2 linked regions of the Arabidopsis thaliana genome follow. The protein of the gene in region 2 purifies or fractionates together with the protein of the main gene of each other region. This does not show direct contact. Each region holds a gene or a part of one and is shown on either strand. Other genes may lie near its edges.

Region 1 (7,707 bases), on a different chromosome or scaffold from region 2:
TCATTCAATGCCACTTACTTATGCTTTAAAAACGATTGTAAATCATGTTTTACCCTTTTATAAGCTTTTAAAATCCCTTGTAAATCATTCAATGCCACTTACTTATGCTTTAAAAACGATTGTAAATCATGTTTTACCCTTTTATAAGCTTTTAAAATCCCTTGTAAATCATTCAATGCCACTTACTTATGCTTAAAAAACGATTGTAAACCATGCTAACCTTTTTTAAATCCCTTGTAAATCATTTTATGCCACTTACTTATGCTTTAAAACGATTGTAAATCATGTTTTACCCTTTTATAAGTTTTCAAAATCCCTTGTAAATCATTCAATGCCACTTACTTATGCTTAAAAAACGATTGTAAATCTTGTAAAACTATTGTAAAAAGTTTTAAAATGATTTACAAAGGTTTAAAAAGGGGTTTTAAAGTATTTACCTATGTTTTTAAAGACTTTATAAAGATTTTAAGAGGTTTTAAAATGATTTACAAGGGTTTTTAGCAATTACCAAAGATTTTAAAAAACTTTACAAGGTTTTTTAAAAGAGTTTTTAAAAAATTTACAAGGATTTTTAAAAGCATTTTTTTTGCTGGGAAACAAAATTTACGAGAAAAAATTTTGGCGGGAAATTTATTTTTGGCGGGATTTTTTTTTTTTTGGCGGGAAAAAAAGGTTTGGAGGTGTTCTTCAATGAATAGGGGTGCTTGATGAGGCTTGTATTAAATGGTAGAAGTCCATGGAGAAATCGAAGTGTTCAAAATCGGAGGTGTTCTTCAATGGAAGCTTTACTATGGAAATGTTTTGTTTCGTTAAAGATGAAGAAGAAGAACTTTAAGCGTATATAAGTATCTGTGTTTGTATAGAATGACAGAGAAATCTTTGCAGGTAGAGTGGTCAAATGACCTTTGATTTTTCTCAAATGATAGGGGTTCGAATCCCAGGTCTGTCATTTCTTTTTAAAGAAAAACGAAAACGACGTCGTTTAGAATGGTTAATGGAGGTGTTAACGGGAGTTGAATAATCCGTTAACGACTAATTTTTTTGGCCTGGTCAATAAAATATTCATGGTTTAAATGGTGATCAACGATAACTTCATGTTTAAAATGACCATATATAAAGTTAACGTATAAAACTGTCATAATTTGAAAGTTGAGGTATTAAATAACATTTTTCCCTTTTAATAACTGTAACCAATATGTAACAGAAATCCATCCAACCCAATTTGATCAATAGCGTAAAAACTCATTATTGTTATAAAATTTTAGGTAGTTTACATCAAAATAATATCATTCATTTTTTATACTATAAAAATAGTATTTAGATTAATATTTAACAAGAATAAGAATAATTTTTATATATAGATCATATCAATCCACATAATAAAAAGAGAAAAACTCAAATATGAAAAAAATTCAAGTAACAAAAATATATTAGAATTACATTTGGTTGATTGGAAAAAAAAAAATTACGTGTAAAACTATAGTATTATCTGAGAAACGAATACAAAAATTTGCAACAGTAGCAGCAAAACAAATTCAAAACTTGCGGCAACGACAACAGCAACAACAACAACGAAACAAACAATAACATGCGAGGCAGTCTCACGGCTAGTGGCAGCAAACCCAACAGTTTATCTAAACGAGAACCAAAATTTACTCTCGTTTTTTTTTTAATGTTATCCTTTGATGAACAAAATGTATTTTCCAAATTTTACTTTTTTTATTTTTTAAGTATTATCCCTTAAAATAATATATCTTGCGGAAAAGGAATCGGATTAAATAAATTTTAACGGTAGAAAATAGGATAGGAGGAGAGAGAGAAGGTCTTTTATTGGTTTGAATGAGATTAGTGAAGGCAGCTTCTCTTCTGATTTCTTCAACCAAACCTCCGTCTAGGGTTTTTTACTCTTCCCATCTCCGCCGCCCTTTTTTCTCTCACTTCCGTTTTTCTTCCTCTTCGTCGACGTCTTCCTCCGTCGCAGTCATGCCGGGTTCCGAACCATCGGAGACTCAGTGGCCAGCAAAGAGAGTCCGGGATACTTATGTCGATTTCTTCAGAGGCAAAGGCCACAAGTTCTGGCCATCAAGCCCCGTTGTTCCTCATAATGATCCTACTCTTCTCTTCGCTAACGCTGGTACGATAACTTCGATTCCTCATATCTGTTTTTGCCGATAAGATTGGGAATTTGTCCAAGTTGATCTATGGAATTCAGATTCTATAGAGTTGACTTATTCTGTCTTCTTTTGTCTTTGAAGCTTTGGGACTTATTCAAATTTCTCAATTTCAGTTTTGGTCGAAATTTTCTGATATTGATACTGAGCTATGTAAATTAAGTTCTCTTGATATGTCTGGCGAAAAATAGAATTATTAATGACATTGAAACTTCTCTGTTTTTCAAGGAATGAACCAGTATAAGCCAATATTTTTGGGTACGGCCGATCCAAATACTGAGCTTAGCAAGCTATCTCGGGCATGTAACACCCAAAAGTGTATTCGTGCTGGTGGAAAGCATAATGATTTGGATGATGTCGGCAAAGATACGTACCATCACACCTTCTTTGAAATGCTTGGTAACTGGTCCTTTGGAGATTATTTCAAGAAGGAAGCTATCGAATGGGCTTGGGAGCTCTTAACCAAGGTAATTAAATACCTGGGAAATTTGTCTCTGTTTACTTGATTTAAGAAAAATATACATGGTATTATTCAGTAAACTATTGTCTCCCTCCCTTGGGACGGTATGTCTCAATTTTGTTAAGTGATTCTTCTCTTTTCATTTGGTTGTACATTTCAGTTTTGTAAAGTGATTCTTCTCTTTTCATTTGGTTGTACATTTCAGTTAGATACCTTGTGACAGTATTTCATAATTTTGTAAAGTTACTATTCTCTTTTCGTTGAGGTTGTTTATTTCATTGAGGTTGATACCTCCCTGTTTTCATGCCTCAGGTCTATGGGCTACCGACTGATCGAATCTACGCTACATATTTTGGCGGTGATGAGAAAGCTGGCCTTCAACCTGATAATGAGGCTAGGGATATATGGTTGAAGGTTCTTCCATCTGGACGTGTGCTGCCATTTGGTTGCAAAGTATGTATTGATTATTTAAGATAATAACTTTTAATCTGTTACCTAATTTTTTTGAATCCACTACTCATTGATTTCCTCTCTCCTGAGGTTACTTCACAAGTACTTCAGCTAAGTTGCCTTTGTATTGTCACCATTGTTTCTTGTATATATTGACACATCTGTTTGTCAATGCTAACGACAACCAACTGTAAGCTTGAATGCATTTTGGCTAGGAATACGCTATCATGTTTGGTAGTTGGCAGGCTTTAAAAACCATTGTTTATGATTTACAGTCAAAATCTTGTACAAAATGTAAAACTTAAGGGTTTTTAAATGCTGTTTTTCTTTCATTTAACTTTTGATTAAACTGCAGGACAATTTCTGGGAAATGGGCGACACAGGTCCGTGTGGACCTTGTACTGAAATACATTATGATCGCATTGGTAACCGTGATGCTGCATCCTTAGTTAACAATGACGATCCAACATGTTTAGAAATATGGAATCTTGTCTTTATTCAGGTACAAACCCTCTCTGTCCCAATTGTTATTTAGTTCCATTTTACTAATCTTTATCTCAATATCACAATTGTTTTAATGATTTTGTAGATTGTGTTACTGAAAACTCTATATTGTGCAGTTAGCTAGATTGTTATTGCTCCTTTAGCTGTGCTATCATATTCCCAATTGTTTCCTCTGACTGGGATGTTACTTATGTCTTCAAAATAGTTCAACCGAGAAAGTGATGGCTCGCTAAAACCTCTGCCTGCTAAGCATGTTGATACCGGGATGGGCTTCGAGAGGTTGACTTCTGTTCTTCAAAACAAAATGAGCAACTATGATACAGATGTGTTCATGCCTATCTTTGATGACATCCAAAAGGTAATTTGTGAAAACTTCTGTTGATGGTTTCATGACAGCTGTTTAATGATGGTTTCATTGAGTTATTTTTGTTTGGCCTCCTCTTAGGGACGCATTTGTCACCTTAATTAGTACTATCATCATTTTAGTTCATCAATTTTGAAGTGGATCATGGGTTCTATGCTTTACGTCGAGACTCCGTCAATTGTTTTTGAATATTTCTGGTTTATTGAATTTGGATTTCATGATAAAGGCATTCTACTATGGGTATCCTGGAGATTATTCGTTGTTAGCTGTGTCACTTTTCATGTATTTTTCTTAGTGAGAGGATTGAAAAAATCTTCAAATTGCTCTGTTTACCCTAGTTGTTGCGAATCTTAAGTTTAGGTGTTGATGCTTTCACTTTTTTAGGCAACGGGAGCTAGGCCATATTCTGGAAAAGTTGGTCCGGAAGATGTTGACAGAGTTGACATGGCATATAGAGTGGTTGCTGATCATATTAGAACCCTATCATTTGCAATTGCGGATGGCTCTCGTCCTGGTATATACTTGGTTTCTTGTCTCAATCACAATTGTGGTGGTTACAGAAAATACAATCGTCTTAGTATTCAATCATTTATTTGAGTTCATACTTATATGTTCTCAGAAAAAGTGTTTTTGGTTCATTTATTCTAAGTTGGGCATGATGAGTTTGTCAATTTTCTTCCTCAGACAATCTGTTATGTTATACAAATAGAGGTTTGTTATTTCTTGTAGTCTAACAAGTACCAATTAATATACTATCTCTTGCAGGTAATGAGGGCCGTGAGTATGTTCTGCGGCGTATTCTTCGTCGAGCGGTTCGCTATGGAAAGGAGATCCTAAAAGCTGAAGAAGGATTTTTCAACGGGTAGGAAATTATGTTTGATTTTCGTTGCATGTTTTGTTTGAATATTGTTTCAAATATTGTTTCGTTGTAGCTGGAACGTTTATTTCTGTCTTGTATCTTTATAAATGAGCATATTTTTTTGACACATGTTTTATCTCGGGCTTTCATATTACCTGTAGGCTTGTAAGTTCTGTCATTCGGGTGATGGGCGATGTCTTTACAGAGTTGAAGGAACATGAGAAAAAGATCACAGATATAATTAAAGAAGAGGAAGCAAGCTTTTGCAAGACCTTGGCAAAGGTAAGGGCTGGATTTAATTTCCGTCAAAGCTTTGAACCTCTTATCTTATTTTGTTTTGGGTTCTTCTGGCTCGTCGCACTGAAGTAAAAGAGACAGTTCACAGCTTCAATCAGTGGCATGTGATATTTCTGTATAGATTGTTTCCAATTTCATCATTGTTCAGTTTTAATGATGGTTAGACATAATTATAGTATTTTCTATAGGGAATCTTTTTTCTGAAAGATGAATTGGCTTTACCTGGTCGTTCCTCCCTTTTTTATGTGAATAGGTGGTGAGTATAAGAACAGTTAGACTGATTATAAATTTTCACGGCAGGGAATTGAGAAATTTCGGAAAGCTGGACAGGCGGTTCAGGGGAATACACTGAGTGGAGATGTACGTATCGAATCATTTTTGTGATGTATGTTAGGCGTTGCAGTATTTTCATCTGGGATGTTTGAATTCTATCTCAACATGTTGTCTTCTCTTTGCAGGATGCTTTTATCTTATGGGATACATATGGTTTCCCGTTAGATTTAACTCAGGTACGTAAGTCATTTATACTTATTTCTGAATGTTCGTGTTATTTTCTAACTTTTATTCTCGGGGTTCAGTTGATGGCTGAAGAAAGAGGGTTACTGGTTGATGTTGATGGTTTCAACAAAGCCATGGAAGAGGCGAGGGAAAGATCGAGAAGTGCCCAGAATAAGGTGTTTCAACTTTCCTCTTGTTTACTTTCTTAAAGAGCGTTTAATGCCAAACTTACGTGTGACTATGAACGAAGTTTGCAATCACATCATCTATTAACCAATCTTTTAATGTCATTTTTTTATAGCAAGCTGGTGGTGCCATTGTTATGGATGCTGATGCTACATCAACATTGCACAAGGCTGGTGTTTCAGCAACAGATGATTCTTTTAAATACATTTGGTTCCAGGTTTGTCCTTTTATTCCAGAAAACTTGCATGTTGCACCTGAAATGTTCTTATGTTGGCGTAGAAATGAAGAAGTTAGGGCATATAATAGTAAATGGATTTTGCTTTAAAGAAACCTTTATTGGTACTCTGCCACATATCGCTGCAGGACCACGAGAGTGAACTAAAGGCAATCTATACTGGCTCTACTTTCCTAGAAAGTTCAGCTGCTAGTGATAACGTGGGACTAGTATTGGGGTCTACAAGCTTCTATGCTGAGCAGGGTGGTCAGGTAATCCATTTTATTTGATATGTATTTTAGTTTGCTAATTGTTTTTCATTTCTGATCATATGACTGGTGGCATGAAATTGCAGTCTTCAGTATGTTCATCTTGGATTTGTATATATATACAAATGTAGACATGGCAGTAACACCATGAACACAATCATATCAGAACTGCATTGTTTGAATTTATGTATCGGCTGGCAAATACCATGATATAGTTATTGTTGGTTTTGCATACTAATTTCTGAAGTTGTCGTTGACAGTCACATAAATATTTTTAGATTTCATATCCATGAACAAGGTTAAGCTTTTGATTCACTTCCAATCATCTATATGTATATAAACTCTGTGCCTCTAACATTTTTTCTCTGGCAATAGATTTTTGACACTGGACTTATAGAAGGCTCGTTTGGGACATTCAATGTATGCAATGTACAAATATTTGGGGGCTTTGTTCTTCACATTGGTTATCTCTCTAAAGAAACTGGAGAGGTATCTGTGGGTGATAAAGTGATTTGCAAGGTAACTCTCTGCATCAAACAGTGTTTGTCTCATTCACCATATTTGGTACTATCCAATTTGTTTCCACCTTCGTTTTCATGCGTATAGGTTGACTATGAGAGGCGTAAACTCATCGCTCCTAATCATACTTGCACACATATGTTGAATTATGCCCTGAAGGTATCCCTTTTCTATAATTTAAGTAACCTAAACTGTGATTTTCTAATTTTTTCTATTGGATCTGAAAATATTCATGTCCCATGAATTCAGGAAGTGCTCGGGGATCATATTGATCAGAAGGGATCAATTGTTCTTCCTGAAAAACTGCGATTTGATTTTTCTCATGGTACATTTTTGAATAAAGTCATTTTTATTTTGATGTGGATGGTCATCTTAATTGTCTGATGGGTTCCATAATTTCGAGTAGGCAAGCCGGTTGATCCTGAAGATTTGAGAAGGATCGAATCCATAGTGAATAAACAGATCAAGGATGAATTAGATGTGTTTTCCAAGGAAGCTGTGCTTTCTGAAGCCAAGCGCATCAAAGGTCTAAGAGCAGTGTTTGGAGAAGTAAGCTGTCCATCAGTTCTGTAGCTATACCTTTTTAGTTTGGTTTCTAAGAATTGTTAAAGCGTTCTCTCTTACTCTTTTTAGGTCTACCCCGATCCCGTCAGAGTGGTGTCAATTGGGAGGAAGGTTGAGGATCTCTTGGCTGATCCTGAAAACAATGAATGGTCATTGCTTTCTTCCGAGTTTTGTGGAGGTCTGTTTCCATTGGCATTAGCTATTGGGACCAAGATATTACGTTCTGAATAGAATGTTGAGTATAGGGTTATTTTGACAATTCCAGGAACCCACATAACAAACACCCGCGAAGCCAAAGCATTTGCTCTTCTATCGGAGGAGGGAATTGCTAAAGGTATTCGTAGGGTAACTG
Region 2 (5,882 bases):
ATGAATCATTATTTTATTATTTTTTACGTATTAATGTATGAAAATATTTATATTTTTTTTGTTTCAGGCTGGCAGAATTAACATGGGCTTGGATAAGACGTTTCTTACACATAATTTTCCGACATCCACTAGAATATCATCAATATATAATATGAAGAATTATTAAAATTGTGAAAATTCAATAAAACAGATCATTTATTTTTAGATCAAAATCATATTTAGGGTCTCACAATCAGTCAATCATCCCATGAGGGTGAGACTCTTTATCAGATTTAATTATTGTATCGCTTAGTAAACTATTGTATATAAAAGAATAACCACCGTGAATTCTTCTTATTTAAGGAACCAAAGAACTCATTGTTTTTTTATATAAATGATCAGTAGGGGATGGTAAATCGCCTGTTTGTTTCTTACCAAATATTTTCAGTAGTTGAATCGAAAATGAGTAGAGACAATAGTCAATGGAAACGTGAGATGTGAATACACAAGTGACCTTAGTTACTTGAAGCCACCACATGTCGGCAGAGAGGTACAGAAACCAACACGTACCATCTTTCTTCCTCTCATCTCATGCAAATGCGATCACACAGATCTGCAGATCACTTTTTTTATTTTTGGAGACAACCTTACCTGTTGTGTTTTATTTTCTCTTTTCGGTCTTATATTCTTCCACCTCATTTCCTACTTATTTTTTCTTTCTTTTTTCTGATAAGATCGCAGATTAGGTTATCAGGGATAAGGATTTTTTTGAAAGAAACGTAATTCTGATAATTGGCTTAACATTTACGTATATCTCCTCTAATTAGTTAAATACGGAAAACTTCATCAACATCAAAATCTCTAAGTTCTTGTCTCCACAATCATGAGTCATGCAAAACACCATTATCAAACAAACCAAGGAAAACAGCAAAAAAGAATGCAAAACACTGTGATTCCTTTTGTCTGGGCATCGAACCAGGAGTGAGTGTGTGTACCTTTCATTTCTTTTCAACGACTCAGAGTAGTTTCTTCAATTCTTCCACGAAACGATCTCTAGTACATGTTTGATCTTCTTTCTCTTCACTTCCCTTCTCGAGCTTCTTCAATGTCACAAAACTTCCACTGAGTTCTTTTTCGCCTACCATCACCATCCAAGGAATCCCTGATTCCTTTGCACGATTGAAATGCTTTTCTTTCCTCTTGCTCACTAGATACTCTGCGTTGATCTTAGCACCCCATAACTGACTTACCAGTTCTGCTGCTTCCGCTAGTTTATTATCCACCATTATACTAACCAACACCTGTGTCTCCGTTGGTCGAATCACCTATATTCATAGCAAATAACACAAACTTCAAAAACCATTCTTTTAAAACAAGGTCGACAAACAGCATAAGGGTTTGGCAAGTTACTTGTTTCTGTTTCTCGTTAAGTTCTTCCATTATGTTAAACACTCTCTCGATTCCCAGGCTCATCCCAACCGCAGGGACTTGCTTTGTTCCAAACATTCCTATAAGGTTATCATATCGCCCACCAGCACCAATTGATCCCACCTGCAGAAAGAAGAATTCAAAGGCCATACACTACAATTTCTTTAATTGAATTGCAGGAAGCCAAAATGCGGGATTTTACCTCTGCTCCTATACAAACAGCTTCAAAGATGACGCCGGTGTAGTAATCAAGACCTCTAGCTAGACTTAGATCAAAGACTATTCTCTCACTGCACTTTGATCTTTTAAGAGCTTCAAACATGATACTCAACTCATCAAGAGCTTCTCTTGATGACTGGTTATCTAAGAACTCACTCCCTTCTTGTCTCAGTTTAGACAACAGCTCCAAAGGAGCTCCCTTCTCCTTAACGAAGTTGCCAATTCTGTCTGCAATCTCTGAAGACAAGCCCTTCTCCTCCACCATTTCTTTCTTCACTTGCTCAAACGATTGCTTGTCTAGCTTGTCGATACTCGAACAGATGGTTCTGAATTTCTCAGGTGGTACTCCACATATCTCCAGCATTCCATCAAGCAACTTGCGGTGATTCAGTTTCACCTATTTAAACAAACCAGAATTAAGAACATAGCCAAAGAAAAAACCAACCAGGAAAGATTAAGACTTTCAACTTAAGTTATTACCTCATAATCTCCTATTTCTAACTCATCGAGGAGTTCAGTTAATATCTTGACAATTTCAAAATCGGGTCCCATTGGTTCGAACAAACCAGCGATATCAAAATCACACTGATAAAACTCTCTGTATCTCCCTTTAGATGGATTATCCCTTCTGTACACCTTTGCTATTTGGTATCTTTTGAATGATGTGATTCCATTCATAGCCACATACCGTGCAAATGGAACAGTTAGATCATATCGTAAAGAGCAAAGCTCTCCACCCTGCAATTAATAGATCCATATGAGCTCAAATTTTGACAAACAAATCATCACATAAACTGATGATATTACAGCAGCCAAGAAGAGTTCTACCTGATCAGCAATATCATAAACCAATTTCGAGTCTTCTCCGTACTTTCCCATAAGGGTCTCTCTCAATTCAAAAACAGGAGTATCAAGTGCAGTTGCACCATGCCTCTTGAAAACGTTTTGTATGATTGAAAAGGCTTTTTCTCGGACTGCCATTTGTTCTTTAGCGAAATCTCGAGTTCCCTGTCATAGAATGAAACAAATCAGAAATTAACTCTGAGGCCTAAACCTTCTCCATATACGAGATTGTAATTTACCTTTGGAAGCTTGGGAAGTCTCCTATTTTCATTACTTTCTACAATCTCTTTCACTTTATCCAACAAGCTATCAAAACTGCGACCCTCTGGGTTGAAAAGATTTAAGATTTGCTCCCCACATTGCATCAATGAATGCATCTGGTCACCATCACTTGCTGCGTCATTACTCACCAATCTATCTTTGATAAACTGGATAACTAGGCTTGTCCCCTTTCCCACAACTGCTTTTTTCTCATTCTTCTTCTTTTTCTTATCGGTCTTCGACTCTTCTTTGTCCGCATCTCCGCTCTTCTGAACAAACAATTCTCCACCAGCAAGAGCAAAAAAGGCAGCAACTGCCTCCAAACCAACAATTCTCCATACAATTCCCAGACACTCATTCAGTTTGTGAGCAAACCTGCAGTAATCCTCTTCCAAATGAGCAGTATAAGCTAACTTATAGCTATTCTTTAGATTCTCATTCTCAACACAGATCTTTTCAGATAAACATTTCTTCAGATTCTCATCCACAATCTTCTCAAAACAAAGCTTAGCACGAAGGAACGAACACACTCCCAAGTTTTTAATCGCCGTTAACAAAGGTAACAATGTTGTTCCTAAAGCCTCACCAATCCCAGTGTTTCCAGACCCAGTTTTGCCTCCTTTAACACCGGAATTCAATTCTCTCCTAGCATCCGCGTGCACGCTTTTCACCACATACCTGAATTTCCCATGAATCCAAGGGATTTTCGAAATCTCTTCTATTTCTAATTTCCCTGTACCTTTATACCCGTTAAGCAAAACCTTGAGATCACCAGCAACACCAATCACATCTTTATCACCATTCCCATCTCCTGAATCCAACAAGCTAAACGAAGCTATATCAGCCTTTGTAACCTCACAACTCAACGCAGCAACAGAATCCACAATCTGTGAAAGAGTCGTCGATTTGTGATCTATAATAGAACAAATCCCAATCAACGAAGCACACGACTTCTCCAACACAATGTTTTCCCCTTCTGTCACATCAATCTCACCCAATTCCAAACTCTCAGCCTTCAAATTCAGAATCTCAACAATCTTAAGCGGAAGAACAGAACGAGCGGTGGATGAAGAAGGAGGACCAGAAGTCGACAAAATAAGCTTGTTTAAGAGAACAGCCAGAGAAGCTCGAGTTTCTTCGTTCGTTAACCCTTGAGGGATACCAAAGGAGCTCCTTTTGATCGATGGAACGTTTCTAGTGGAGAATCTCTCGATCGCAGAAGAGTCAATTCGAACATTAGCGACGCCGGAAGCAACATTGTAAACGGAGGAAGAAGATAAAGAAGAACCTTTCCCTCCGAGAGTGATGGACGATCTCTCCGCCGCCATTATCACACACAGAGCTGAAGCCGGAGTGATTAGGGTTTTCTGTCTTTCGTTGTGTTTGACCTAAAACGAAGCACTGTGAAATTGCAAGAAGGCGGATTTAGAAAATTGGTAAACTGCAAAATGACCCTCGAAGTATCCAGTTATTGGAAATTGATCTACGAAAAATGCTTGTATGGATACTTCAAGGATCTTTTTGCAATTTTCACTTTACGAAATGTTTTTTTTTATCAACTCGAAACGGATTCAATAGTTCAATAATCATATTCAAAGAAGCCAACTTTTACTCTGATAGCCATTACAGAAACACAAAGCACAAAAGTAGTAGCTTACAGATTTTAACAAATCAACAACATCACTTGTGTCCTTTTAAACGGATAATTCAATCTGAGAAACAAGGATACCATCAGTATCTGCATAAAGCCATTCGCCATCGCATATCCGAGTGCCTGCAATGTTCAAAGAGACTCTTTGTTCACCAAGTCCTTTCTTACTAGCCTTTATTGGATGAGAAGCTAAAGCTCTCACTCCAATGTCGCAACCATTGATCTCATCAACGTCTCTGATGCATCCATTCACTATGATCCCTGCCCATCCGTTGTTCTGCGCTTGTACGACCGGGTTTCCTCCTAGTATCGCACAGCGTAAACTCCCTCCACCATCCACCACAAGAACTCTACCATTGCCTGTTTTAACATTTAAAACATTATTGAGCTTTTGATGTGAATGCTACAGAGAACAGATTGGTTTATTGACTCGGGTTTTTGAAAGACCTATCTCGTCTCTAGTATTCAAGAACTTGATTAGCAAAGTGACTGAAGAAGTATATAAACACTGAGCAGTAGTTCTAAATCATAGAGAGATGATCTTAAGACTTCTTCAAACATAGTTTCAAGCAAAGAACAATTGAAACTATTTGACAAGTAAGTAACACAAGAATTGAATCTAAAATGTAACAATACCAATAAACCATGTCAAAGATACTCTGAAAGTTCATAGCTCTACGAGTAAAGTTTCAGTCTTTTGAATTTTATAAGCAAGAATCATTAATACCTTTCTCTTCGAGGAAGTGACGGATTAAGCCATTGTCTTCAAAGACTTTAACAGTAACTACTGGACCTGAAAATATTTGACGACGACCATAAATCTGAAAAACGGGTTGCAGAGCTCGGAGCTGGCCACTTCGAATCATCTCTTGATTCGCGTCACACACTTCCGCAGTGGTCACAAACGCCATTTTTTCTTCTCACCTGAATCAAGAATTATGATCAAAACAAGTAATCTGGGGATTTGATTATATGAGATTTACGAGAAATTACTCAAACACAGAAAGCAAAAGACAAATCGAGATTAGTCTAGATAAAGTGATCATATATATTCTCAGTCAATCAATCAAAACCCAGAAGGAAAGATACACACTTTTCATTCAATTCACAAGAAAACTATTTCAAAATCCATCTGGGTTTTGATCGAATCTTATTTCATTTACCTGGAATAGAAGAAACTAGGACGAAGAAGAGAACTCTGTGTGCGTAAATCTCTGAGAAATGAAGTGATGATAATTTAAAGGAGAACAAAGTCATCAACATACTTGTTTCGGTCGTTCAATAATATTAAATTAGTGACTTTTAACTTTACTTAAATCAGATGGAAGGTGGGTTGTCGTTAAGCTTCGAAAAAAGGAATCTTTGCGTTGCCTTTTCTCTGGTTTCGACTCTGTTTCCTTGTTATCCTTTTCCTCGACGCTTTTTGTACATCTCACAAACTTTGTGACATTCATTCATTAATTAAGATAAAAACGAAAACTTTATTATTGCCTGAGGTGCT

Evidence for each region.
Region 1: the proteins of AT3G02760 (region 2) and ALATS fractionate together in Arabidopsis thaliana (co-fractionation; one large-scale study listed by BioGRID). This does not show direct contact.

The regions. Positions count from the first base shown.
Region 1 is NC_003070.9:18,592,444-18,600,150, reverse strand, and holds the start of ALATS (Alanyl-tRNA synthetase), read left to right. Parts: upstream 1-1,671; 5' UTR 1,672-1,839; coding exon 1,840-2,134; intron 2,135-2,399; coding exon 2,400-2,638; intron 2,639-2,943; coding exon 2,944-3,084; intron 3,085-3,436; coding exon 3,437-3,583; intron 3,584-3,790; coding exon 3,791-3,943; intron 3,944-4,333; coding exon 4,334-4,463; intron 4,464-4,714; coding exon 4,715-4,811; intron 4,812-4,969; coding exon 4,970-5,090; intron 5,091-5,405; coding exon 5,406-5,465; intron 5,466-5,563; coding exon 5,564-5,614; intron 5,615-5,683; coding exon 5,684-5,779; intron 5,780-5,904; coding exon 5,905-6,006; intron 6,007-6,152; coding exon 6,153-6,275; intron 6,276-6,647; coding exon 6,648-6,791; intron 6,792-6,878; coding exon 6,879-6,950; intron 6,951-7,040; coding exon 7,041-7,116; intron 7,117-7,197; coding exon 7,198-7,340; intron 7,341-7,424; coding exon 7,425-7,533; intron 7,534-7,620; coding exon 7,621-7,707.
Region 2 is NC_003074.8:596,593-602,474, forward strand, and holds AT3G02760 (Class II aaRS and biotin synthetases superfamily protein), read right to left. Parts: upstream 4,192-5,882; 5' UTR 4,059-4,191; coding exon 2,709-4,058; intron 2,635-2,708; coding exon 2,455-2,634; intron 2,365-2,454; coding exon 2,107-2,364; intron 2,024-2,106; coding exon 1,610-2,023; intron 1,531-1,609; coding exon 1,390-1,530; intron 1,305-1,389; coding exon 996-1,304; 3' UTR 513-995; downstream 1-512. Other genes in the region: AT3G02770 (Ribonuclease E inhibitor RraA/Dimethylmenaquinone methyltransferase), read right to left, coding at 4,425-4,741, 5,109-5,292.